Linked DNA regions of Canis lupus familiaris. The protein of the gene in region 2 interacts with the protein of the main gene of each other region in a biochemical or structural test. Links are inferred from orthologs where the notes say so. Each region holds a gene or a part of one and is shown on either strand. Other genes may lie near its edges. The genes, in order: DDIT3, CEBPB, KAT2A, RB1, CEBPG, EP300 and SMAD4.

Region 1 (3,992 bases), on a different chromosome or scaffold from region 2:
AGAGAGAGAGAGAGAGAGGCAGAGACACAGGCAGAGGGAGAAGCAGGCTCCATGAACCGGGAGCCCTATGTGGGATTCGATCCCAGGTCTCCAGGATCGCGCCCTGGGCCAAAGGCAGGCGCCAAACCACTGCGCCACCCAGGGATCCCTGGAGTGAGCCTTTTAAAACTCTAGTCAGGTCCTGTCAGTCTGTTCAAAACTCTTCAAGGACTAAAGTTCATGAATATTAAAGGCTAAAGGTCCTTAATATGGCTTAGAAGGCCCCACACAATCTCCTTCCCTGCCCTGGATTTCTCATTGACCACTCTCCCTCTAGTCCGTCCAGCTGGCCTGCTCCCTAAACTCTGCACACTCCCACCTTAGGACCTCTGTTCTCACTGTTCTTTCTCCTGGAAAGCTCTTCCTTTCACAAATCTGCACAGCTTACTACTTTGCCTCTTTTCAGAAGTTTCATTTAAATGTCACCTCTGTGAGAGAATCTCTAATGACTCAAGGTAAACATCCTGGGCATTCACTACCCTTCCATGCTTTGGTTTTCTCCTTGGCACTTCTATATTTGTTCGCTGTGCACCTTTTCCCACGAAATGTAAGCTCTGTGAGAACAGGTCTTTTCCTTGTTCGTAGATGCATCCTGGGCCTAAAATGTGTGGCACATAGCAGGTGTGTAATAAGTAATTTGTGAAGAATGAAAGAATTCTCCCCAGTGTCTCATAGGGAAGGGAGGAGGAAGCCCAGAGGCAGAGCAGCAGCTGCCCAGCCCTGGGGACTGGAGATGCAATATCTCCCAGAGTGTTTCTCTTCAGGGCTGTCCTCCCTGGGGGACCCTCCTTGCCTTCCAGCGTGTGGGATGCCGCTTTCATCAGCAGTGGGGCCCCAGGCCAGAGGGCTGCAGAGCCAAACAGGGGGCTGGCCTGATGCAACGGTTACACAGAAATTAGCTGGGAGGCAGGACGCGGGGAAAGCAGCAGGGACAAATCCCTGCGGAAGGACCCTACACTGGGGAGACCCCAAATGGCTTCCCACACTTAAGGGATCCAGAATGCTCTCTTGTGCAGGAGGCCCCCGGGACCTCTGGGGGAATGGGAAAACCCATCTCTGCTCCCTAGCCATTGGCATCCCTCCTCCTCCCAAAGTCTGGAGTCTGTCTCCTTAAGGTTCTCTTCTCCGTTAGGGTGTGGAATGGCTGTCCTGTGCAGGACCCAGGAGCTCCATCCACCGACGTGGCCACTCTGGCCCTGAGACGCTGGGCTGAGACAGGATTGGGGGTGGGGTAGGGGCAGGGCCGCTGGTGGGAAAGTGGCGGCAAGGGCGTGAGCCAGAGCCATCCAGGCGTCTCGGCGTGGGGGAGTGTCCTGCCGCCCCGCCTCCCACCGGACAGGACCAAGGAGGCGGCCTAGGGCAGCAGCGGAAGACAGGGAGTCTCCCGAGGGCATCCGGACCCCTTAGCCCGACGGCCCAGAGCCGGGCCCGCGCTCCGGGCAGGGTGGGGCGCCGCTCCCGTCCGAGGGAAGAGAGGTCTGTAAGCACCACTCCCGGATAAAGGATGCTCCCCGTCCCTCCCTCGAACTGTCACTAACTTCGTCGGGGAACGGGTGGGGCCGCATCCTGAGCAGCTGATGCCCCAACTTCGAAGGGACAACCAGCATCCCCGAGGACTAGAGGGTAAAGAGCAGGTGGGATCGGTACTCGCCTCTCTCCTCAGGTTCCGGCTCTGACTGTGGCTCTGTGGCTGCCACCCGCTCATCTTCAACATGATCCGCTCTGTGCCTTACACTCAAGCCTCTGACCTCGGAGGCCCGAGCGCGGATGTTTTAAGGAGGCCCTGCCCTCCCCTCGGGGGCGGGCCCGCAAGCCTGCCAATCAGGGCGCGGCACGCCGGCGCTGGCCCCGCCCCGCCCCCCGCGCCCGCCACTCAGCAGCCCCCGCGGCGCCGCCCCCTTCGCTCCCGCCGGCCCGGGGGTAGAGGTGGTGTCGGACCCGGAAGTGGCTTTGGGTCACGAGGCTCCGCGGAGGAGGCGAGTGAGTCATGCGCGCGCGCGGAGGGGAGAGCTGGGGGGGAGGGGAGGAGGGGAGGAGAGGGGGGCGGGGATGATGCAATGTTTGGCAACCGGTGTCTCGGCGCGCACGCGCAGGGGCCGACGAGGGTGGTGGGCGGTGCGGGGGGGTGGGGGAGAGGAGAGGGCGGGGCGCCAGCGCCGGGCTCCCAACGGCCCCAACGGCTCCCAACCGTGGCCGCCCTCAGGCTGCCTGCGAAGCCGCGCTGCGGCTCGTCCTCCTCGGCGCCCTTATTCCGCCCACCTGGCGTTAGCCCCCGCCTCGCCGTCTGCATGGGGGGCTCCCATTTTGCTCGGTCCCCTCCTAGTTAGTGGGCGCGAGGTCTTCTAAGCCAATCTCTTTTGAAAGTTTGCATGCAGCCACAGGACCGCCTAACGTCTCCTCGAGTAGGCGCATAGAAAGATCCCGTTTAGCTCCCTAATTCCCCCAGAAGGGGCCGAGGAACTTGAGTACTTTTGATGGTCATTTTCAGCTCCTCGCCGAAAAGCACCCCTAACTTTTATCTTTGTGAAGTTTCTGATGAGCGCTCAGCATGCCAGGATTCAGGACTTGGCCCGGTGGACGCGATTCTCAGCCTCCCCCCCCCCCCCCCCCGTACTCTGGTGCCTCCACCAAGGATCAAGACCCGCCCTTTTCGCTGTACCAGCCGCGCAGGTCCTGTGACTCCTGCGTGAGGAGCCGTGCACCCGCCGCCTGCCGCCTCGGTGCTCGGGCGACCTTAGAGCCTCGTTGCCTGGGACGTTGGGTGCACTTGAGCGCGCAGCCGCCTTGCACCGGGTTGTCAGGAGCCCAGAGTCTGGCCTCACCTGCCCCTTTACTTGCCCCCTAATATCTGTGCCACAACCGTTCTTGTTTGTAAATAAAGGATGACGAGTTGTGAAGGTAAAACGAGAGCACTATGAACTTGGAGGCAGCTTAAACAAAAGTGAAAAGCATCGCTTAAAATGCAAACGTTTTTCTTGTGCCATTAGAGAGAAAAAAGATGCCATGTGGCGGCCGGTTGTATTCACTGTCATACCCTCACGGGGGCAGCCAGAGTTAAGTAGAATCTGTCACAAGGCCGGTTGTGGCTGCAAGGAGGTTTAGGTGGTGGTGTGACGGTGACAGGTCCTCGGCCGGGCCTGCTCCGTTGCTCCAGACCTCCATTTCCCCTTCAGTAGATGGGGGTGGGGGTGGGTTGGACCAGATGGTCTCTCCTGGCCCAAAGACATGACCAGGTTGTCAGTGACAGGCAGAGGTCATGTGACTTGACAGGCGGAGGTCCTGTTGTGACATGTTGACCTGGGGAGGCGGGTCAAGTCCCAGCACACTACCCGGGAAGCCTTTGGGGCGGGGCAGGGCAAGTCGCGACTTTCATCTTTTGGGGCCGGCCCCTCCCGGACCCGGCATTCCTGGCTCCCCCGACAGACTGTGGCTTTGGAAGGGGCCCCTCCCCGGGGAGGGCTGGGATTGGCCGCCGGTGGCCTGGGAAGAGGCTCAGATCCTTCCGCGGAGGGCGGGGGGGCCGCGTGGGGTGTTTGTTCTCTTGGGGATTAATGGGGGGTTGTGGGGGAGGGGTAGGCGCGCTCCCGCATGCGCACTGCGGCCCCTCCTGTTGGCTCGTCGTTGTCCGCTGGGCGGGGGCCCGGCCCCGCCCCTCTCCCGTCCGGGCAGCGGCGGCGGCGGCGGCGGCGGCGGCTGCGGCGGCGGCGGCGGCAGCGACGGCGGCGGCGGCGGCGGCAGCCTGCGCGGTGCCTTCTGGGAACGGAATCCCCAGGGCTGCCCCTGGCCCCCATGGCGCATGCGCGGGAGGCCGCTCGGTGATCCGCGGCGGCGGCGGCGGCGCTTCCTGCTAGGACCGGCCGGGGCCGTACCGGAGGCTCGGGCTCCGCCGACCCTCCTCCCACTCCCTCCCACTCACCCTCTGGGCCGCGACTGCGCAGGGCGGGGCCGGCCGA
Region 2 (3,579 bases):
GCAAAAAGGTCTTAGGGTGCTCTGATAAGAGCTTTTAAGACTAGTGGGGGACATGAGGCCCTGTGACCTTGGGTGTCCTATGCCCCCCCCCCCCCGGGCTTCTTTGTACCCTGTGGGAGGGAGGTGGCTTCTTTCTGATGTGCCTCCCAGAGTGGACCTCAAACTTAAATTAAGCCTTCTGTTTGGGAGTCCGTGGTGGAGACAATGATACAACTAATAATAATAACCGTAACAGCACTTTCATGGAAGGAGCTTGGAGTGAAGTGACTCGCCCAAGGTCACGCAGCGTGGCCGCCGAGCACCCCCCACCCACCCCCTTCCACCTCCCTGGGCCCAGGTCAGGGTCGGGTGGGGCCAGAGAAGACCCAGGTGTGGTCTAAGGGGGCGGGCAGGGCCGGTGGGCGGGGCTGGGGGCGGCGCAGTCGCCGCGGCCGAGGTCCCGGTGGGGCTCTCCCCCGAAGTGCCCCCCACCGGGGTCCTTGCGTTAGACGTGCCTTTAGGAGGGGCGGGGGGCCTCCCCCAGCGTGGAATCCCCTCCTTCCGAGGGCTGGGGTTGGGAGCAAGTTTTGGGGCGGGGAGGGGCCGGCCGCGCGGGGGAAGGACGGTGCAGGTGGGTCACCTCTCGGGGGGCCGGGGCGGGGCCGGGGTCTCCGGGATCCGGCCTGGGGAGCGCCGGCCTCCTCCGTGGGGCGTCCGGGCGGGCTCGGCGGGTCCCGAAGCCTCCGCCGCCTCCAGCAGGGGGCGGGCGGCGGCCGTGCTTCGGGAGGGGGAAGGCGGTCGCGCTGCCCCCTCCCCGCGGCCCCCCCGGGGCGGCCTCCAGCCCGGAGGGGGCGGTCCGGGGGCGGGGTCGCGCCGCCCCTCCTCGCTCCCAATCCCCGCGCCGCCGGGTGGGGGTGGGCAGGGGGCGTCAGGCCGCCCCCCCGCGGGCCCGCGGACCCCCCGAGGGCGCGCCCCGGCTCTCGGGTCGGGCCGCCGGGCCCCGCCGGCGCCCTCGCGGGGGTCTCGGGCCGCCACCCCGCGTCCCGGCGGCGGCGGGAGGGGCCGGGGCGGCTGCCAGCGTGACGCAGCCGTTGCCATGGGTCGCCTTATAAATAACCGGGCTCGGGAGAAACTTTAGCGAGTCAGAGCCGCGCACGGGACCGGGAAGAGGACCCACGCGAGGGTCCAGCCGTCAGCCCCCGCACCGGCAGCGGCCCCCCGGCGGCAGCGGCCCCCCGGCGGCAGCAGCGGCGGCGGCGGCGGCGACCCAGCGGCCACGGTCGGAGCCGGGAGGCCGCGCCACCTGCGGGCCGGCCGGAGCGGGCAGCCCCAGGCCCCCTCCCCGGGCACCCGCGTTCATGCAACGCCTGGTGGCCTGGGACCCAGCATGTCTGCCCCTGCCGCCGCCGCCCGCCTTTAAATCCATGGAAGTGGCCAACTTCTACTACGAGGCGGACTGCTTGGCTGCTGCGTACGGCGGCAAGGCGGCCCCCGCGGCGCCCCCCGCGGCCAGACCCGGGCCGCGCCCCCCCGCCGGCGAGCTGGGCAGCATCGGCGACCACGAGCGCGCCATCGACTTCAGCCCGTACCTGGAGCCGCTGGGCGCGCCGCAGGCCCCGGCGCCGGCCACAGCCACGGACACCTTCGAGGCGGCCCCGCCCGCGCCCGCCCCCGCGCCCGCCTCCTCCGGGCAGCACCACGACTTCCTCTCCGACCTCTTCTCCGACGACTACGGAGGCAAGAACTGCAAGAAGGCGTCCGAGTACGGCTACGTGAGCCTGGGGCGCCTGGGGGCCGCCAAGGGCGCGCTGCACCCCGGCTGCTTCGCGCCCCTGCACCCGCCGCCCCCGCCGCCGCCGCCGCAGCCCGCCGAGCTCAAGGCGGAGCCGGGCTTCGAGCCCGCGGACTGCAAGCGGAAGGAGGAGGCCGGGGCGCCGGGCGGCGGCGCCGCAGGCATGGCGGCTGGCTTCCCGTACGCGCTGCGCGCCTACCTCGGCTACCAGGCGGTGCCGAGCGGCAGCAGCGGGAGCCTGTCCACGTCCTCGTCGTCCAGCCCGCCCGGCACGCCGAGCCCCGCCGACGCCAAGGCGCCCCCGGCCGCCTGCTACGCGGGGGCGGCGCCGGCGCCCTCGCAGGTCAAGAGCAAGGCCAAGAAGACGGTGGACAAGCACAGCGACGAGTACAAGATCCGGCGCGAGCGCAACAACATCGCGGTGCGCAAGAGCCGCGACAAGGCCAAGATGCGCAACCTGGAGACGCAGCACAAGGTCCTGGAGCTCACGGCCGAGAACGAGCGGCTGCAGAAGAAGGTGGAGCAGCTGTCGCGCGAGCTCAGCACCCTGCGGAACTTGTTCAAGCAGCTGCCCGAGCCCCTGCTCGCCTCCTCCGGCCACTGCTAGCGCGGCCCCCGCGCGCGGCCCCCCGCCGGCCGGCCGGCCGCCCGCTCGCTCCGCCCGCGCGCCCGCCCGCCCGCGCGCCCGCCCGCCTGCCCGCGCGCTGCCGGCCGCGCCGCGGGGACCCGCGCCCCCGCCCCCGCCCCCGCCCCCGCCCCCGGGGCGCCGGCGAAACTTTGGCACCGGGGCGCTTGGCGGCGCGGGGAGCTCGTCGGTAATTTTAATATTTTATTATATATATATATATATCTATATTTTTGTCCAAACCAACCGCACATGCAGACGGGGCGCCCGCCCGTGGTGTTATTTAAAGAAGACGTGTCTATGTGCACAGATGAGTGACAGGCTCGCTGCCTCCCCTGCCTCCTCTCCGGGCGCCGGCGGGCGGGCCGGTTCCGAAGTTGATGCAATCGGCTCGAACATGGCTGAACGCGAGTGTACACGGGACTGACGCAACCCACGTGTAACTGTCAGCCGGGCCCTGAGTAATCGCTTAAAGATGTTCCTACGGGCTTGTTGCTGTTGATGCGTTGTTGTTGTTGTTGTTGTTGATGTCGTTGATGTTGTTGTTTTTTGGTCCTTTTTTTTTTTTTGTATTATAAAAAAAATAATCTATTTCTATGAGAAAAGAGGCGTCTGTATATTTGGGGATCTTTTCCGTTTCAAGCATTAAGAACACTTTTAATAAACTTTTTTTTTTTTTTTTTTTTTTTGGAGAATGGTTAAAAGCCTTTTGGGGGCAGTAGTTGGCTTTCGATTTTTTTTTTTTTAATTTATTTTTTGGTTTAGATGATTTTAGATGTGCTTTCCTGGATGGGGGTGTGTGGGGGGGTAGGGGGGGGTGGGGTTGTTGTGTGTTGGGGGGTTTCTATTATTTTGGGGGTTTTTTGGTGGTTGGGTGGCGGTGTTAACAGCTGTGTCGTGTGTGTGTGTGTGCTTTTTTTTTTTTTTTTTTTTGGTCCTCCCTCCACTGCTGCTCCCTCCAGGGTCTGTGCTTGGAGGTGGGGGATGCCAGGTTTCTGGGGCTCTCAGGGTGACTCAGCGCCCCTGAGTGCTGGGGAGGAGTGACCCGGAACCCTGCTTGGGAAGAGGTCGGCTTGTCCCGAGTGCCAGGCTTGAGTTTAGAGGGAGGGACCTGTACGTCTGTGACCTCTGTAGGGTCCGGTGTTTGGGGGATCCGGCTAGCAGGCCACATTATGTAGGAAGA
Region 3 (4,287 bases), on a different chromosome or scaffold from region 2:
TACGTGGCAGTAGCAGAGCCATCTGCGGGCAGAGGGGAGGTAGGATGGAGAATGGAGACACTAAACCCAGGTTGGGCTTACGAGCACAAGCACCCCCACCCCTACCCCCTCCCCCACCCCCCGCTGGCCTTGGCCAGCCCTACCTGGTATAATTGACCTTGTAAGTAGCCACATCCTCAGCCTGAGACCGCTGCCGAAATTGGGCAGGAGTCTCAAGCTTCCAGTAGTTAAGGCAGAGCAGGAACATCTTTGAGAGTTCAAACATCGTCTGCCGCTCCCGAGGAGCCAGGTGACTAAACTTATACTGCACAAAGTTCAGCACACCCTGAGAAGGGGTGGGTAGGGAACAAGACCAGGAAGGAGACGTGAGCGGCCAGCAGGGGTTTCTTATACAAAATCTGGTGCTTCCTGAGGGCAGGCTAAAGCTCCCCTCTCACTCGGGCTCTCTGTGAAGAAAAATTGTGCCCCCTTCCCAGCCCCATGCCCATCTTGAACATCCTCCCTTCTCTGAACCTGTCCCTTGTTCTCAGCTTGAGGAAGATGGGGAACACAGGCTCCTCACTCCTCCAAGATGCCCCCAATTCTCTTACTACCTTCCTCATCCCACCTGCTCAATATTAGGCTTCTCAAATGGGGGACTGCCCAGGGAGCCCTCCACCACTGGCCGGGTCATCTGCAGGATGCATTTCCGCAGGAGCTGGAGGAAGAGGAAGAGGGAGGAGTAGAGGTCAGTGGAGCTCAGAGCTGCAAACTCCCCAGTCCAGCCCCACCTCCTTTGCTCATTCACACTCACTTGGATGAAGCTCACCTTGAAGAGGTAGAAATAGACCTGCTTAGTGTCCGTGTCCTCCTCTTTGTGAACAGACATGAACAGGTTCTCCACGTCTACCACCATACCCAGCAGCCGGTTAATCTCATCTTCTGACACATTCTCCAGGTGGGACACGTGGTCAGCTGCAAGAAGGAAAGGTGGTAGGATTGGAAAGAAAGGATAGATGACGAGAGCTCTCTCTCACTCTTCATCACCAATTTACAACCTTGGTAGCTCCAAACAGCATGACCAGTAGTGAGACTGACTGCTACTATGTCAGCCTTGGGTGGACCCTGTCTATTCCGGGCTGGCAAATTTCCTTTCTCTTCCCTTGGGAGGGATACATGTTCCCAACCCAATCCCTCCTTCGGAGGCATTTTTGGTTCCAAAGATAAAACTCAGTGGCACTTAAATTATCCTGTCCAAGCAGGCCCCAGGACCTGCCCCCGCCCCAGCTCCAAGGGCACTACCTGCCTTACCCAAGGGGTGCTCACAGCTGCGGCACAGCTCGCTCAGGTTGGCAGCTGGCTGCTGCAGGTCCATGCGGGGTGCAGTGGGGGGCTTGGGGTTTTTCCAGCCATTACACTTGCAGGTTTCATTGGCCTGGCGTTAGAAAACTCGGTCAATAGCCCTGTAACCGGGCACGGGGAGCCGATCCCCAGCCACAGATTTGCCCCCATTCCCACCGGAGCCCTGGGATGCCCCAAGCCCCGCCCCTTCTCACCCCAGGCCCCGCCCCCACCTTGCAAGCCGAGAAGACCCCTAGCTTCTCAAGCTTCTTGGCGCGCGGCAGCCCCCGGACTTGCGCCTTCCTCTGGCTGGCGCGCTGCTGCTGGCTCAGGCCAGGTCGAGCCGGATCCCCTCCGCTCCCGGTCCCCCCACTTCCTACCCCGGGACCCCCAGTCCCTGTGCTGCCGGCTGGGGCTGCAACTGGCGCGGGGGCTGGTGCCGGAGTGGGAGCCGGAGTCGGGGCTGAAGCCGGGCTGGGGGCAGGAGTCGGAGGTGGGGCAGGGGCTGGAGACTGAAGGGGACGGGGCTGCGTGGCCGGAGCCGGGGTCGAGGCCTGGGAAGGTTCCGCCATGGCCTCCCCCGCAGCGGAGCGCGGCGCGGCGCTCCTAGCCCTAGGGCCGCATGGGCAACCGGCGCTCGGTGCGCAGGCGTCGCTGCGCCGGAGCATGATGGGAGTTGTAGTCTTCCACGACCGCTCCCTCCGTTTCTGGCTTCCAGACTTTTCTGTCCTGCCTCTTGGCCCCAGACAAGCAAGTGAAGCCTGAGCCATTACCCTAGATTGTCTCCTCCTCACTTCTAATCTCTTTGAAGTCTTATGGGATAGCGAGGATTGCCGTTTTCTTGGGGACTTGGAGGAGCATCTGAGAAAACAGGCTCCTGTTGAGGGGAATCACAGATGCTGCCCGGGGTCGTGTTGGCTTCCGCCCCTCCACCCCCTGTCCCTGTCCCACACGTCTGCGGACACGGAAGTGCAGCCACAGCGGAGATTAAGAAGCAACACTTCCATTTCTTGCCCCGTGGAGGTGGCTACATGGGGGTGCTCTCTGGGGGATAATTCAGTGGTACTCTCTGGTGCGCTTCTTCTATTATGTTATATTTCAGCAATAAAGGATTATCATAAAAGCCGTGAGCGCCTGAAGGCAGGGTTCGCGTCTTCCTTCTGTCCCAGAGCCCAGCCCTCAGGCGGCCACAGTAGACCCAGAGTCTGACGAATGAAGGAAACCAGGAAGTCGCGGTCACCTCCTAAGCCCCGTGTCACAAGACCGTGCGCGGTCAGGATGGAAGACCCTCACGGTCACACCCCCGGGCTCGGTTCAGGGGACAGCCCTTCTTGTCCTCAGGCCTGATTCTGGGAAGGGCAAGAGCCCGGCTCCATCTCGCCTCCGCCCTGCGCTGGTGAGCGCTACAGGGTCGGCTGGTCTGCGCTGGTGGGTCACCGCCCCGGGAGCCAGGATGAGAGCAGCAGTGGCGCGCCAGGGCGGTGACCACCAGGCCTGCGGAGACCGGACTGGCGTAGCAGGCGGCCGCGGAGGAGCGGAGGAGCCAGGCCGCCCCAGGGCCTCTCCCCAGGGCGCGCAGCCGCACCCCCGCCCCCCCCCCCCCCCACGCCGCCGCCGCCACCGAGCGCCCAGAGCCACGCCCAGGGCCTCGCGCCCTCGCCCTCGGACAGCAGTTGCTCAGTCGGATGCAGCGGGTTGGTAGCGGTCTCCCCAGCGGGAGCCAGGTGGCATCCCGCTGTCCCAGCGTGGCCCTTGCCCAACAGAACCAGGTGGCCACACTGCCCGTACGGCTCCTGAGGGACGATGTGGTGACTGCGCAGAACAACTTCCATGCAGAGAATGGCTTCCAGATGAAGGTGGATGCCTGTGGCTTTGCCCCGGAGGAGCTGGTGGTGCAAGTGGACGGCCAATGTCTGATGGTGACCGGCCAGAGGCAACTGGAGGGCTGCAGCCCAGATGGGGCTGGCTACCGTGTGGCGCAGAGGGTGCATCGGCAGATCCAACTACCACCGGACCTGGATCCCACTGCCGTGACCTGCAGCATGACCCCCTCCGGCCAGCTGTGCGTCGGAGGCCAGTGCCAGGGCGCTGCCTTCCCAGGAAGCCCAAAAAGGCCCATCCCCGAGACTCCGAGGCCATGGCTCTAAGAAAGGTCAACCTACCCTGACCCAGTAAACAACAATTCTAGTGTGCAGCAGCAGCCTTGGTGTTCTGTGGTCTTTTCTTGGGGTTGGGATCAAAGGTGGAGGCATAATGGAGGTAGAGAGAGGGCCAGTGGAGGGCTTAGGGAGGCAGGAAAAGCACTTTACGGTGGTGGTCCAACAAGAATCAGGCCTCTGTGGCCCCGGGAGGAGCTGGGTCCGGGGCTCAGTAGACCAACAGCCCTGTGCTGGGCAAATGACAGCAGCAGCTCCAGCAGGGAGCAGCAGAGGGCCAGGATGGCAGCGGGGGCACCAGGCTCCACAACCAGCAGAGGGCCCCGGCAGACCAGAGATCAGATAGATACAAAGACTGGACTTGATGTGGGGTGGTCTCTTGGTCTGAAGACCAGGCAAAGGTTCCAGAGATCACCTGGGAAGAGGATGAGAAGACCCAGTCCTTCACAAGGTACAGACTAACCAAAAAACCCCAAGAGGTGGTTTCTGTTGTTTCAGAGACCAACTATTTTCAAATACAAACTGCACATCACCCCAATATAATCTGGAGGGGGGTGGGGGCAAGGCTAATACAAGCCCTCAATTTCAAACTTGGGGAGATTCAGCTCTAGGTCACTCTCACCACCACCACCCCCTTACAGCTGGTACCAGTAAGGGCCTCTTTCTCTTGGTTACCATAACCACTAGCACCCCTCACTTTGGGGGAGGGAGGGAAGCCATTGTTCAACAAGATGCAGTGGTTCATTTTAAATTAACTTCAAGTAAGCTAGAGCGGATATGGTCTGATAAACTCTGCCAGAGAAAGACAAGG
Region 4 (4,102 bases), on a different chromosome or scaffold from region 2:
TTACCAATACTCCATCCACAGATGAAACTTTCTCCCAAGTTAACCAAGCTCTTTCTCTGACATGATCTGGTATCTTTAATTTCTGACATAATGCAGTAAAATCGGGTTCTTCGGTTTCTTCAAACACAAGCCTACCAGATAAAAACAGACATATAATGGGGATATATTTAGAAATCAAACTAAAAGTAAACATTTGCTTCAATGGTTTGCATATAACAAACATCATTATTCTGAAAAAAGGCATTACTAAGTACTTTAAAATCTTATTTATCTTTGAAAAAAAATTACAGAATTTAAATGTTTATTTTTTTCATAGTCCTTCCAACAAATATACAACACAGTGAAAGATGTTTGTTGGCCTGAATCACATACACACCAGAACAGCAAAATAGCTTTGGAAAAGTAAGTAAGTATGATAGCTAACGCTGTATGGGAAAAGCGGGATGACAATAAGAGCAAAAAGAAGAAAGCCCATTTATGATATTGCAGAATCAATTTAGTATCAGCAATTTTGCTAAAATGCAGTCTACGCTTATCAACGTCTCATATAATCTCTCTACCTATAAGCATTTCTCACGTAATAAGAAACTTAACATGAATTCCTGCTATTCTTATTTCAGCCTTTTCTCTTCGATCTTCCTTACCCAAGATAGGTAGTCAATAGTTTCTTGTTGGCTAGCTCCCTTTCATTCTCTTAATGTCTATTTGACACCTAATAATAATATAAGGAATAGCTAATAATTTTTGAGTATTTACTCTGAGCCTGTGTGAATAAAGTATCTTAAATGTATAGTTTCAGTGGAATCCACACATGGGCCTACTAGATAAGTACTCTTATCCTTGTTTTACAGACAAGTACCAAATAAGAAGTTAAAGGACTCACTTGAGGACATGGCCAGTAAGTGGGAAACCCAAGTCTAACTCCATGATCCATGCCCTTGACCACTATGCCAGACTGGTAAACCTCCTTCAGAGCGTAATTAACTTTGATCATGTCAACAAGGAGGGTGCACTCTTGCTCCTAGTGAAGGTTTCCCTTCCAACATTCCCACTTAGGCCAGATATAATGCAACAGAGAGAAGATCTCAGCTTCAAGGTACAGACAGATTCCATCACTGAAAATGCAGGTGGAGCGGGCCCTGAATCCATCCCTAAGCAGGACGCTTGGCTTTGGATTGCCAGGCACTAGTTTCACCCTTGCTAAGCAGCTAGTCTACACAGTTCAACTGCCCGTACTAGCAAAACCTTTCGGGGGGTATGGTTAATCAAGAGTGGAGTGTATCCTGTATGGTTTTACTTACAGGAAAATTTTTTATAGTTCCATCATTTAAAAGTAAATAATGCAATGTTGGGGTGGGGAAGAAAGGCCTTCTTTTCCCAGGTGGGGGCCCTAATTTGAATATTTCTGGTTACCCTACAATAATCCAGAGGACGCTTCCAAAGCTCCGTGGTAAACATGGAACTCTTTATAGAGTAGATTTACTGCTTTTTCCAAATGAAAACGTTCAAGTACTGGACACAACAGAGCTTAATCAGAAATTAAATTTGCTTTCAGAACAGCTTGACTGTTTTTCCCCCCAATTAGCGAGTGTGATTTTTAACTGACCTGTAAGACAACCCATTTCAACATATGTATTTTTAACAGCTTTTCACAGGCCATCCCAGAAGCCCATTCCAATCGTTCACAATCTATCTGAACCCTGTTAGTGTCTAGCAAGTTCAAAGAATAGGGCTTAGTAATGGACTAGAACAGGTGAGGAAGCGGTGAGGAAAAGAAAGCAATCCCATTCTCAAACAAAACAAAACAAAACAAAACAAAAAACAGGTACTCTCAGAGTGGTGGAACCAGGACTGGCAAAAATAATGGCAATCATAGTCTTTCAGTCTTAGGTTCTTAACCATAAAGTACCACGATCGTGAAAAATAGGATGCTGCAACAGAATAAGTCCTCCCTGTCACGTTCTACTGTATTATCACAGTAGTCGCCTAAATTTAGAGACCACTTGGTGGTGCTGGTGCTGGTGGTGGCGCTGGTGGTGGTGCGGGTGGTGCTGGTGCTGGTGCTGGTGGTGCTGGTGCTGGTGCTGGTGGCGGTGCTGGTGCTGGGGGGGGGGGGGGGGGGGAGAAGTGTGCTGTGAGCACGGGCAGCTCACGAACTCTGCAGCCCAAGCGAAACAAAACAAGAGCAGGCGCGAGGATGTGTCCGGGCTGGAAGGCAAAATGGAAGAAGCGCTGCAAAGCGCCGAAGACGGATACCGAGGCTGTGCAGGGGGACCACGGAGAGGGAGCGGAGGCAGGCAGCGGCGCTCCAGCGGGGCGCGTCGCGGGGCTTGCCCGGTGCCGAGGCCTGGAGCCGCGTCGCCGCCGCCGTGTCCGCGGGAGGCCGCCCGTCCCCCGCCGCGTCGGCCGCCGGCTCCGTGTCCGCGGGCGCGGCGGCGGCACCTGTCACCGGGCGCGGGCGCCCGACCCCCCCCCGCCCGACACCTGTCAAGCCGGCGCCCGGCCCCCGCCGACACCGCGCCCGCCCCGGCCCCCGCCCGCGCCCGCGCCCGCCCCCGCCGCTCTGGGCTCACCCGGGCAGAGGCGGGTCGTCGGGGCCGCTGTCCTGCGCCGGGTCCTCCTCGGGCGGCGGCGGCGGCGGCGGCGGCGGCGGGGCTTCGGCGGCGGCGGCGGCGGCCCTCCGGGGGGCTTTGGGCGGCATGGCTGTCCGCGGGCCGGCGGCGGGGCGGGGCGCGGCGCGGCGCGGCGCGGCGGGGCGGGGCGGGGCGGGGCGGGGGGCGCACCTCGGGGCCGCCCCGCTGCGCGCAGACCCGGGGAGCGGCGCCCGGCGGAGCCCACGAGCCCTCCTCCCGCCGCCCACCGAGCGCCGGGCCAGCCGCGCGAAAACGTCACTTCCGCCCGCGGCGTCACGTCCGCGAGCTCCGGGGCCGCCGGCGGCGGGACGGACGGGGCGCTCCGGGGGCGCGGGGCGGCGGCGGGCGCGCGGCGGGCGGGGCCTGCACCCCCGCGGCCCCCGGGACGCGCTCGCCTCTCCCGGCGCGGGCCCGACCCCCGCCGCCCTGGGCCCCGCTCCGGCGGCGGGCGGCGGCGGCGCCGTATCTAGCGAGCGCACCCCGGGGGCACGCCCCGCCGCGCCCCCCCGCCCCGCGACACCCCGCCGCGCGCCGCGCCCTCCCGCCGCCTCCGCCCCGCCCCGCCGCGCCCCCTCCCCTCCCCGCCCCTCCCCGCCCCCTCCGCGCCGCCCCCCCGCGACCCGCGTCCGCGCCCTCCCACCGCCCCGCGACCTCCGGCTCGCCCCCGCCGAGCCTCCCCCGCGTCCCCGCCCCCTCCGCGCTGCGACCCCCTCTCCCCTTCTCCCCGTCTCCCCGTCCCCCCGTCCCCGACCGCCCTCCGCTCCCCGCCCCGCCCCCTCGCCCCTCCCCGCCCCGCCCCCGCTCCCGCTCCCGCCCAATCCGCCCCGCCGGATCCGCCAAAACAAAAACAACCGTCTGCGGAGCCCCCCGGGCCGCGAACGCTGGCGACGCCGGGAGACGGCGGGACGCGCGGGGCGAAGCACGGCCGCCCTCCGGGACCTGCGCGCGCAGACGGGGCCGGGGGCAGAGCCGGTGAGGACCTGAGCGCCCGCCCGCCGCGGCCCCCGGTGCCCCCCGCAGGCGCCGCCCGCCGTCCCGCGTCCGAGCATCGCCCTCTCCGGGTGTCCCTCGGGAGTAAATGAACTTTCATCTTTTTTTAAGTCAGGATTGTATTTAATATTTTATTTATTTATTCATGAGAGACACAGAGAGAGAGAGACGCAGAGACCCAGGCAGAGGGAGAAGCAGGCTCCACGCGGGGACCCGACGCGGGACTCGAACCCGGGACCCCGGGGTCACGCGCTGGTGAGCCACCCCCCACCCCCGCCCGGGCTGCCCCGTAAACGAAGTTTTAAAAACCGCGCGCGCGCGCACAGAACCGGGAGGGGCCGGCAAACTGTAAGGGGCATTTTCAGAGAAAAAGCGGCAGCTGAATGAATGCAAGCCCGCCCGGCCCGCCCGGCCCGGCCCGGCCCACGCGGGACGAGCGCCCACTGTGTGCCCGGCGCGTGCTGGGCCTCAACCAGTGA
Region 5 (3,500 bases), on a different chromosome or scaffold from region 2:
TCTCCTCAGAGATGATGTCCCTGAACGTACGGGGAAATCTAGGCTCAAACGCACCTCTTGCCGCCCTGCCCCGGGCCGGGGCCAGGAGACGGCCGAGCACCGCCCGCCTTTCCGAGCTACGGGACCCCTGGACTGCTTGCAGGGGATGCCAACACGAAGAAACCCACAGTGAGATAGTCATTATTCCAAAGTTTTTTTTATTTCAAATTCATTGAAAGAAATAAAATTATATTTAAAAAAATAGAGTAATCTCACAAACCGAGGAAAGCCAGGAACAAAAAAAAAAAAAAGGAACAAGTTGAGGACTTTTTCCTGAGAGGAGGTCTAACAGCTATAGAATGGACTTTCCCCTCCCGAGCTTTTGTCAAACAGAAAAGTTGCTTCCTATCTCTAAGGCATCGAAAAAAGCACGCTGAGTGCTAACTGGGTTGTTCAGGTACAAAGTGTCAGGCCCTGTCATGGGGACTGAGAAACCTCGGAGGCTGATTTAATACCAAATATTAAACTGCACATACTACTTTTCATCGTGAACTGCAGAGTGTCACACTTGTGGCCCTAAATTTCAAAAATCCGGTCATATTTTATTAGGATCTTACTACTACTTAGTAAGACTGTCCAAAGTCTCTGAGCTCCCATTCCAGCCACCGAAAGGGGCCAGACAGCAGAGGAGCCGCTCCCACCTCACCACCTGCTGCCAACACCAGCCGGAAAGCACCCGCCTCCATCGCGGACTCAGATGCAGCCAGACATTGACCCTAAAAGCCTAATTCCTAAACCACTGGACCTGCCGGCAAAGGCAGATCAAAGCCTAATGGGTCATATGTGTGACCTACAGGACTTACAAAAGCCATTTTATAAATCCCAAAGCTCTAGACTTCCCATCCCCCACACCTGGTTTCCCTCAGTGATACTCCTACATCTATCAAACTGAAAACTTTCATTCCCAGACACTTCAGTGAGAATCAAGACGACGGTTAACCCTTCTGTCCGATGCACACGTGACCGCTTGTGCTCAAGTTCTGATGTGCACGGTAACCGGAAAGCGTGAACCATTTGTTCCAGAAGTTTCAATTCAATGTTCTGATTTGAAATCTCAAGTGCACACCCCTGACGATTTCCCTGAAGCTGCTTTTCCAAGACAGTTAAGTCAGTTCACCTAACTGGTGACCATAAATTCCATAGGGACAATTTCTGAAAGACATTTTTTTAGTGAACAAGGGACTACAATGTGGAGCCTAAAAATTCGGGGGACCTAACTGCACCTCTAATTAGGTTAATTATATAACATCAATCAGCTATTAAAGATTCAGTAGGATTCTGTGGGTTACCTCCTAGTCAAAATATCTGTCAACCCAGAAGTAGACTGATACTCCAGCCGAAGTAAACTGGTGTTGGACCCTAACAGAAACCTCCATCCTGCCTCCTGGCACTCCAGGGAGTCACCCCTCCTGGGACAGTAGCTCTCACGGAACAACACTGGGTTCCAGTCACATGCGGCAGAGGCTCATGGCCGCAATAATGGCTTTGCTGAGTTGCAGGTCACGGTGGTATTTTCGCCTGCCCCAGGGGTACAGACAGCACTCTTGCACCAGCCCAACGTGCAACTCGGGTTACATCCTGGTTACACTGTTCCAGGCCCTAGTATGAAACCATATGGTCAAAAAATAAGTGGCCATGTTCAAATTAGATACCTGGTAACACACACTTTTTTACTCAGATGGGACTCAGCCTCTTGTCACCAGCCCAGCCACACACACACACACACACACACACACACACAAATGCCAACAAATCTGAGCTAGAATTGTGCTTTAAAAAAAAAAAAGAAAAAAAGAAATCTACAAGAACAATCAAAACCACCAACACTGCTATGAACCAGACCCTAGCGATCCCCGACTTGTGATTGCCATTTTTTTAGTCTCAACAAAAATGTCATTATCCTGAGTTTTATCAGTATTTTCTTTCTAAAATAATTTATGGGACACAAAAGCATACAAATGAACAAACAGAAGCAGTGGTACAAAAAGTCTAGAAGAGCCCACTAACTAGAAAAAGAAGCGTCACAAGAACAATATAAAAAGATGTATTTAAATGAAATAAATTAAAGGTTAGACCTTACGCTTTCAAGTTTTCTTAGACTATTATCTTGGGAGACGGCATACAGTCGATGATATATTGTTCTAATAATCACTTGGTTAAGATCAAACGCCAAATGATCCTTCAAAGAAATTTTTGCCTTTAAAAATCATGGCCCCATTGCAGATATTTAGACACAGGAGAAACTACCTAAATCCCAATTACTAAACTGTTAAGGCATCTGTCTACTAACTTAGCTGTCAAAATGGTATTTTAAAAATATTCACTTACTGGAAACAAAAATTTTGGTACACAAGTTTATCTCTAAACTCTTGGGGGTTTTTTGTTGTTATAAAACAAAATAATGCGAATCTAATAACCCAAAGGTATCCTGAAAGCATAATTCTAATATGCTTTACCTTTATTTTTAGGAAACCTATTTGCCTCCTAATTATTTGTATTTTTAAGCCAACTGGATATATACTGCCTTAAAACACAATGGAATTTACTTAACCTGGCACTGCTACTCAAAAACTACACTTGTTGGGGGAAAACAAATTAGGCTAAAACAAGGTTCACGTCATACATAAAATCACTCCAAATTACAAAGTGATTGATTTCTAGAGCCCTAAGGATTTTTAATACATAATTTAGAAAAAAAATCACAAATACATTAACATAGATGGCATTCAACTTTTCTTAGCCTAATTAATCATCTCCAATAAAACCAAGACCCTCCTGCAGGACCTGCTAGTTCCCCATTCCTTTTATCAACCTAAAAAAGAAGCATTTCTTGGGAAGTGAGGGTTTATTAAGAACATCAAGGTCTAGGGCTCTTGGTTTTTTGGTTTTCTTTTTACCATATACCTTAAAAATTTGCTTTATCCCCACAAAAAAAATCGTATCATTTAAAACTAGATATCCAAATTACATGGCTAACATTTTTAGCTAATCAACTCTTCAGTGCTGATCCTAGAAAACAACCTTCAGTGGATCTCTGAATGATGAACAAGACAATGTTCGGCCACTGATGCGAGCGGTGCAGGTAGTCACACCTTTAGCGTTCAAGCCACAAGTCGTGAAGTCGGGAAGGGGTGAGTGAGGTCTACTGTCCCACACTATCAGAAGTTGCTGTTGTATTTTCAGTGCTAGTGGGTTGCACGTTGTCTGCAAGGTTGTGTGCATGCTCAAGAAACAAATCTTTCAGTACGCTTAACTCCTTAGTCAGCAATTTAATTTTTGCCTCCAACCGTTCATTCTCTTCTTTGAGCTGATTCACTCTCTGCAGCGTATCCTGTGCTTTCTGCTTGCTTTTCAAGCGGCTCTTTTTCACAGCCATGTTGTTCCTCTCTCTGCGCTGACGATACTCATCACTGTTGCGATCCATGGGCGAACTCTTTTTGCTCTGCTTGCTTGGGGGCACG
Region 6 (3,500 bases), on a different chromosome or scaffold from region 2:
CCCTCACATCTGTGCTCTCGTTGCTGGTGTTTTCTTCTCGCTTTCGCTCTTCTTCCTCCTGTTCTAGCTCCTTAATGCTCTCTTCCAGAACGTTGGGCCAGAAATCACCCTCAAAGTAAGGCAACTCCTTTGCACTTGTTAATCGATCTTCAGTAGCTTGTTTAAAAATATCCTGTGAAAATACCAGGTACAAGTAGGAATTTGGTTTTTTTTTTTTTTTAAAGAAGCATTTATCATTCAGAAGCAGTCACAGCTAGCAGACACAAGAAACCTGAAGGATTATAATGTCTTCTGAAAGAAAGGCAGCAGAGAGATTTATACCTAAGCCCCATGGCCCAGGGGGACATTTAGTCTTAAACAGTAAAAACTCAAGGTCTGAGGTCAGTGGTTCTGGTTCTGTCTTTCCTCTGCCTGTGAGGATAGGGAAGTTACCTGCCTTTATAAAGCCAAGTGGGACATCTTCCTGCGAGGACTGATGGCTCAGGCCCCATCAATCACGCCGCAGCCTTTACTATTGCTGATGACACAATGCAATACAATGTGAGGAATGCCTGCCTTGTTCCCATCACCCATCCCCTGACTGAGAAATATGTTCAAAACAACCCAAACCACAAATACTGGAAACTGCATGGCCACAGGCTGCTCTGCTCTGCTGCCTGGGAAAACATCCAGTTCTTACTTTTCTCCCCAGGAGTAAAAACAGATAAGAAACTTATCTGTTCAAGTTCTTATCATGAGATGCCCTCTAATCATGAATGGCTATTAAGAATACGTTTTTCATCACATCTTTAAAACAGAGATTTGTTGATCTAAGACATTTAAAACTGAGTTTTTCTTGGTTTGAAAAAGGGAGTACAGAAGATTTTTGTTAAGATAGTCAAATAGCAGAATACAGAGCTGCAGGATCAGTCATCGCCCCCCATTCCTCCTGACCTTGTAGTCATGGACGATTCGCTCAGACACAGCCTTGTCAAGCATCTTTTTGTACCACTCCTGTAGTCGCTTGGGCTTGGGTATCTTCTGGTCAGGAGGATGGCAATGGAAGATATAGTCGTCTCCCTCACTTGGGGGACATGCCCAAATATGTCCTGTTGTATATCTAACAACACAAAGAGGGGGAATATTCAAGAGAAAAGTTTATCATCTATTCCAGAAAGAATGCTACAACGTGGAGTCAATATGGAAACCAATGATTTTTTTTCTAAGACAATATCAAGTGTACAACCCAGAATCAGATCGAAATTCTTAGGCCAGATTCAGGCCTAACCTACAGCACTTACAATGGGTGTCACATTGCCTAGTTCTTCTTAGAGGCTAACCCTGGATTCCCAAATCCCAAATTTGCATGTGAAGACAAAAGAAAAGCTACAATGCAAAGGAACATGGATCCATTCCAACAACACGGAACAAGGAATGGAAGAAAGCTAAGTGATAAAAGGAAGAACTTGCAAGGTGCGGTAGTGAATGTTCTCAAGCACACGTATACCCTGAAGGTAAAGAATCAGGCTAATTTGAGTATTTCCAGACCCTAGTCTATTTTGGTTCTGATACCTAGGTATGAGAGGGTCAACTGCAGTTCAAGGTTCTGGCCCTGAATGAGTACCAACCTTCCAATCAAACTGTACCTAACACCTTAACTGAACAAAAGAAAACTAATCTGGGATAAGTATGACTAGGGTCAACATATCCATTTCTGTCCGACTGGCAACACTGAGAAAAGGGAACAAAGTCACCTCTCTGCTTTAATCTAAGTTTCACCACAATACCACAGTGGTAATTAGTTAAAAATTTAATTAGTTTAAGCTCATTGTTTTTAAAGATAGCATTTGTCAATATGCTTACCCTAATTTCTTGACGTATTCTAAATATCCAATTAGAATTTCATGATAGACTGCAGTCCTCAAGCATTTAGGACGGAAGAAATGAACACTGTCAAGGTAGGATATGTAAACTCTCCTGTATCAAGTGGGGAGAAAGAAACCATGTCAAGTCACATAAGGAGTTCTTACTAATATGGCTAAAAACACAATCTCCTCTGTGCTCTTTTTCACCTCATTTATAATACACATCACACAGTCACAGTTAAGTACATGACTAGGCTGTGCACTCTTTAGGAGAGTCTGGTGAGCCTCAGTACCCAGCAGCGCTTGAAGCATAGTGTATTAGTATTTATGGATCCAAGTGTATTCTGGTAGCATTCTTATTCTGGCCTTTATACTATTTTGGAAACAAATTCTAAACCATATCCTAACTTTACTTGTGTGACATTCTTTCACATTATCTCCCAGGCAAGGCACCTAACACAATCAAGAATTAAGCCCATTTTCTGAAAAACAGTCTGCTTCCCACTTCTCATTTCAGGCTGTTTGATACTCCTCCTTATTACTATGAACACAGTTTGCATTTCCATTTCCAAAGCAAGTACATCAAATAGTTCCTTGCCCACAATGCTTTTTGCCTATTGAACTGCAAACTCCCACTCAACTGGAAGGCAGTGGGCCAAGTCCTACCTCTGGTTGGGTGGAGGGCAGTCGGAGCCATACTCCTGAACGTGCATGCCGAAGAAGCACAAGTCAACACCGTCTATCTCTTCAAAGGCAAAGAGGGCTTTGGTTCGGTAAGGAAAAGACTCTGCCATCTCTCCGCTATCTACAAACCTACATAATCCAGATTGGAAAGAAAAACACGAGGTCTCAGTTAAACCAGAATCATCAGCAATTAACTGTCAAGTGCTTGTAGAACCACAAGAGAAGAAAAGGGAAAATTATTGGATACCTTGCTTTCATGCCTGGTTTCACTTCCACAGTTTTATCAGAAGCATGCACTACCCGAACAGTGACTTCTCCCGACTCAGGGTGATTCTGACGTCTAAGAAAATCATTCACACGATTCTCCAGAAAGGTGCCAAGCCTGGTAGATGGCAACCCTAGAAGTGCAGAAGTGAAAAGTTCTGCAGTTAGCCAAGGTGCAAATTCATTATTGTTAACTCTTAAGCTTCAATATCAAATATCATTTTTGTATTCTCCGTCCAAATAGGATAACCTGATTTTGTTAAAAGTTAGCAATGTGATCAATACTTGAAAACCATCGTTTTTTAAAAAATAGGAGCTACTTCATGAATTTGTGTGCCATCCTTACATAGGGGCTATACAAATCTCTGTATCATTCCAATTTTAGTATATGCGCAGCTGAAGCAAACATGGTAGTGAATTTTAGGTGTTTTCCACCCAACTTTTTACTTGGAAAATCTTCTAATTTCAGAAGTCACAAAATACAACATCCACATGCACTTTGGCTTGATTGCAGTGATATTTTAAAATAACAATGGTTGGATATTATGAGAAGCCTTATAGGAATAAAAAGCAATCTGTAGGTCAGTAAAAACTGCAAAGGTATCCACAAAATTAAACCAAATATTATAATGCAATAATCTCGACTGTATACAGGATACAATCTTTTTTTTAAGATTTTTATTTTACCTATTTGACAGAGAGAGAGCT
Region 7 (3,500 bases), on a different chromosome or scaffold from region 2:
ACGCCTCATAACCTTCTCTCGCCTAATACACTGAATAAACCTTCCCCAATGTAAGTCTGAGAGTTCTACCGACTGCAAGTGTCTTCAATCAAATAACTTAAAACATGTCCCTTAGGTAAAACTATAGGTATCAAGGATAGATATCTGCAGAATATTTTTGCCAAGAGAAAAAAAGTTGGTTACAAAACACCATTGTACACTATGATCACATGCATGTTTAAAAAATCACATTCTGTAATTAAAAAAGCAAGGTCCAGAACAAGTGCACAATATGCTTTTAATGTAAGAAAAAGAGGGAAATAATACATGTTTTTTTTGCATAAAGAAACCCTGGAAGGAAACACCAGAAACTAATAAAAGTGATTACCTGAGGTAGGGGGGAATGGGGGCAGGGGTGGGAGCACTTCTTTTCACTGTATACCTTTTTATAGTATTTTGATTTATGGACCATGTATTGCCTATTCAAAAAAATAAAATTAAAAAAACATATAGTATATATTTTTTAAGTCCAGAATAACAGACACCAAACTATTAGCTATTTCTCTTTATGGACTAGCATTCAACAAATTTATTCACTGAATAAATATTTATTGAGTACTGTTCTAGTACCTGGGACACATGAATAAAGAAAAGAAAAATTTCTTTCATGGAACTTATACTACAATATTTTTTTCCAATATTTTTTTATTGTTTAAATATCTAATATCGAGGACACATTACTCCAGCTCCTCCTGTCTATCATGATCTTCATCTCATCAAGCGTAGATAATGCCACCTTCCATGTGGGAGTATAACGAGAACAATGAAGCAATACTTGTAACTCGTACAGCTCAGTTCTGGACAAAAAGTCTGTACTTATCAAGTATCAGCTGTTATGCTTTAACCATACTTTTACAGCAGTCATACATATAACTGTAAAATATTTTATGAGGGGTAAGAAATGTATAAGGGACAGAAAAGCTGAAGCCACTGGACTCACCCCAAGTCAGTGTTCTTATCCCCACCAGCAGGCAGAGCACAGCACTCGTCTGATGCTATTGCTGTCTTATTTACTTTGTCTTTCCTCCACTAAACTATTAGCTACCTAGTGTGGAGAAAACACACCTTACTTATCCTATCGTCCCTAGATCCTAACACAGTACCAAGCAATACATGCTCACTAAACATCTCTTAAAATGAATATGCAGACTGATGTGGTCATGGAAAGCTTCACAGAAGATATGAAATAGGCTGGAAATGATTACCCTAAGATTCCAACTCAAAAGTGAAGGAGTTATCCCATTTTCTTAACTTTTTCTTTACCTGGCTTTATATTATTACTCTGTCCAAATCTAGATGGGGATGTGGAAAACACCTGTTGTTTTTTAAGGAAATAAGCCACTGAAACTGGCCTTTACAAACCACCACTAGGGGGATGTGCAAGGCTAAAACAACCCTTAGAGCTACTAAAAAGAGCCTATCACCCCCACACACAATCTGACCAAAGATGACCAAAGATAGCTACTCATAACAGCAACATGTTAGGATAAGGGGGGAGTGTAATGAGTCTTCAAAACTGGATCTCCTCACAACCACTCCCACTAAGGAGATTCTGATATAGATATCACTAGAGTCCCCCAATCCTTAACCCCTGCTGAGCTAAATACTTTAATTCTCCAAAAGCATGGGTGGAGAATGGTGAAGATCTGAAGGGTATTTACTTTCAAAGAAAAAAGAAGACTAATATTAATGTAAATTGTAGTAAAGAGGCAAGACTTAAACCAATCTTAGAGCTACCCTTCCAGACCACTACCACATTACCAATCCATGTTTTCAGAAACCTACTAACCAGTAACAAGTACCAAAAGGGACTGGAGTCTTCCTCTATTATAGCGACATGGAAGAAAGGTGAACTATAAAAACAAGTAGACTTTCAAGCTCTTCCAAAATTTTGTTTAAGGTTAGATGTATTTCTGACCCACCTCTAAGATTCTGCAACAAGTACCAACCCACTGTTCCTCCAGAACAACTGCACATCTTTCTAAGATAATGGTGGTTCTTTATCAGAGTTTCTCTTCAAATTAACTGCTTACAAAAATTTTAGTTCATATTCTAAGTAATAAAACTAAAGTTTCAACAGATCTCTGTTCTCAAATATTACACTAAAAAACACCACCCCTCATTGATTTCATTTCCCTACCTCAAAACATGCTCTTTTAAAAGAGAATTAGATAATCTATGAAAGTTAAAGTAGCCTTGTTTCATTTACTCAAAAATGTAACAAGAAAAAAATATTAACATATGTAGTTTTAAATCATGCTTAAAATTATCATTCATAAAAAATAGGGAAAAACAAAGAAAAATTAGAATATTAGTATTTCTTAAAGGACATGCTATATATGACTCCAAATTACCAAACATTATAGGTATTTATATTCATTTAAATTGGCTCTGTAAGATTTTCTTCCAAAATGATCAGTTTTTATCAATTCAAAAAATATTCTTTCTTCATATGTTTTATATTCCCCTATCATATTTTTTAGGTCACTCCAGTGCATAAATGGTAGTTCAACAAACCACCAGGCTATTTAAATTCAGTTTTAAATACTGATGTGTGCTCCCAAAGAACTGGATTTCCAAAGCAGTAAGTATTTTTCTTGTAAATATTACCAGCATCCATACAAACTAATTTTAGGTCAATAAAAAATAGAGGGAACAGGATAAAGAAGACAGAGAAAGTTACAAGAAACAGATTACCTACCATTACTCTGCAGTGTTAATCCTGAGAGATCTTAATTTTTTAAAAGGGAAAAGAAAATGAAACATTAATCATTACCATGAAAATATTTTCCACTGTATTTAAAATTACAAAGTATAAATTTAACCCAGAGATTCAACACTTCACAAACCATTTCAACTCAAGAGTAGTAGTGTAAATGCTATCTGACGATACATAAACTATTCAATTCTATAATGCCTTCCACCTTATTTTTCAAAACCAATATTCTAGATGAGCAGAACATGAACTATAGTGTATACTTAGTTTTAGCAGTCAAAATACAAGTCTATTCTAAAGTTTAAATTTAAATATTTATATTTCATTAAAAATATCTGATTCTTAACCTTAGCTGAAGTCCTGGCTCTATCCAAATTTATAATTTGGCATAGAAAAATTAAAACAGTATCAAGAACTTTTCCCTTCATGCATCTGAAGATAAAAGCAAAGTCTACTTACCAATTCCAGGTGATACAACTCGTTCATAGTGATATGGATTCACACAGACACTATCACATTTTAAGTCAAATGCATACTGACAATATTTAACATGTTTGAGTTCATTTTTATGAAGATCAGGCCACCTCCAGAGACGAGCATAGATCACATGAGGAAATCCTTTCCGACCAGCCACCTAAGAAATATAAATGATCACTTATAGATTTTTTAAAAGATTTTATTTATTTATTCATGAGACACACACACAGAGAGACAGAGAGAGAGAGAGAGAGAGAGAGGCAGAGAC

The links.
Region 1: the proteins of CEBPB (region 2) and DDIT3 form a complex in vitro, tested with the Homo sapiens proteins (2 studies listed by BioGRID and IntAct, with this or other methods). The link is inferred for Canis lupus familiaris from reciprocal best matches to the Homo sapiens genes CEBPB and DDIT3.
Region 3: the proteins of CEBPB (region 2) and KAT2A form a complex in vitro, tested with the Homo sapiens proteins (2 studies listed by BioGRID, with this or other methods). The link is inferred for Canis lupus familiaris from reciprocal best matches to the Homo sapiens genes CEBPB and KAT2A.
Region 4: the proteins of CEBPB (region 2) and RB1 form a complex in vitro, tested with the Homo sapiens proteins (2 studies listed by BioGRID, with this or other methods). The link is inferred for Canis lupus familiaris from reciprocal best matches to the Homo sapiens genes CEBPB and RB1.
Region 5: the proteins of CEBPB (region 2) and CEBPG form a complex in vitro, tested with the Homo sapiens proteins (2 studies listed by BioGRID and IntAct, with this or other methods). The link is inferred for Canis lupus familiaris from reciprocal best matches to the Homo sapiens genes CEBPB and CEBPG.
Region 6: the proteins of CEBPB (region 2) and EP300 form a complex in vitro, tested with the Homo sapiens proteins (2 studies listed by BioGRID). The link is inferred for Canis lupus familiaris from reciprocal best matches to the Homo sapiens genes CEBPB and EP300.
Region 7: the proteins of CEBPB (region 2) and SMAD4 form a complex in vitro, tested with the Homo sapiens proteins (2 studies listed by BioGRID and IntAct). The link is inferred for Canis lupus familiaris from reciprocal best matches to the Homo sapiens genes CEBPB and SMAD4.

Annotation. Positions count from the first base shown.
Region 1 is NC_049231.1:1,963,493-1,967,484, forward strand, and holds the start of DDIT3 (DNA damage-inducible transcript 3 protein), read right to left. Parts: upstream 2,801-3,992; 5' UTR 2,699-2,800; intron 2,020-2,698; exon of another isoform or gene 1,937-2,019; intron 1,841-1,936; exon of another isoform or gene 1,691-1,840; intron 1-1,690. UniProt on the Homo sapiens protein: Multifunctional transcription factor in endoplasmic reticulum (ER) stress response. Plays an essential role in the response to a wide variety of cell stresses and induces cell cycle arrest and apoptosis in response to ER stress.
Region 2 is NC_049245.1:37,284,672-37,288,250, forward strand, and holds CEBPB (CCAAT/enhancer-binding protein beta), read left to right. Parts: upstream 1-1,239; 5' UTR 1,240-1,337; coding exon 1,338-2,378; 3' UTR 2,379-3,079; downstream 3,080-3,579. UniProt on the Homo sapiens protein: Important transcription factor regulating the expression of genes involved in immune and inflammatory responses. Also plays a significant role in adipogenesis, as well as in the gluconeogenic pathway, liver regeneration, and hematopoiesis.
Region 3 is NC_049230.1:20,651,115-20,655,401, reverse strand, and holds the start of KAT2A (histone acetyltransferase KAT2A), read right to left. Parts: upstream 2,801-4,287; 5' UTR 2,091-2,800; coding exon 1,554-2,090; intron 1,415-1,553; coding exon 1,291-1,414; intron 955-1,290; coding exon 809-954; intron 698-808; coding exon 608-697; intron 326-607; coding exon 144-325; intron 23-143; coding exon 1-22. Other genes in the region: HSPB9 (heat shock protein beta-9), read left to right, coding at 3,006-3,467. UniProt on the Homo sapiens protein: Protein lysine acyltransferase that can act as a acetyltransferase, glutaryltransferase, succinyltransferase or malonyltransferase, depending on the context.
Region 4 is NC_049243.1:3,171,427-3,175,528, forward strand, and holds the start of RB1 (retinoblastoma-associated protein), read right to left. Parts: upstream 2,801-4,102; 5' UTR 2,702-2,800; coding exon 2,574-2,701; intron 1,746-2,573; exon of another isoform or gene 852-1,745; intron 403-851; exon of another isoform or gene 317-402; intron 132-316; coding exon 5-131; intron 1-4. UniProt on the Homo sapiens protein: Tumor suppressor that is a key regulator of the G1/S transition of the cell cycle. The hypophosphorylated form binds transcription regulators of the E2F family, preventing transcription of E2F-responsive genes.
Region 5 is NC_049222.1:119,619,417-119,622,916, forward strand, and holds the end of CEBPG (CCAAT/enhancer-binding protein gamma), read right to left. Parts: coding exon 3,182-3,500; 3' UTR 177-3,181; downstream 1-176. UniProt on the Homo sapiens protein: Transcription factor that binds to the promoter and the enhancer regions of target genes. Binds to the enhancer element PRE-I (positive regulatory element-I) of the IL-4 gene. Binds to the promoter and the enhancer of the immunoglobulin heavy chain.
Region 6 is NC_049231.1:25,041,750-25,045,249, forward strand, and holds part of EP300 (histone acetyltransferase p300), read right to left. Parts: intron 3,200-3,500; exon of another isoform or gene 3,098-3,199; intron 2,927-3,097; coding exon 2,776-2,926; intron 2,658-2,775; coding exon 2,511-2,657; intron 1,957-2,510; coding exon 1,843-1,956; intron 1,100-1,842; coding exon 934-1,099; intron 173-933; coding exon 8-172; intron 1-7. UniProt on the Homo sapiens protein: Functions as a histone acetyltransferase and regulates transcription via chromatin remodeling. Acetylates all four core histones in nucleosomes. Histone acetylation gives an epigenetic tag for transcriptional activation.
Region 7 is NC_049222.1:24,020,640-24,024,139, forward strand, and holds part of SMAD4 (mothers against decapentaplegic homolog 4), read right to left. Parts: intron 3,390-3,500; coding exon 3,215-3,389; intron 2,771-3,214; coding exon 2,741-2,770; intron 1-2,740. UniProt on the Homo sapiens protein: In muscle physiology, plays a central role in the balance between atrophy and hypertrophy. When recruited by MSTN, promotes atrophy response via phosphorylated SMAD2/4.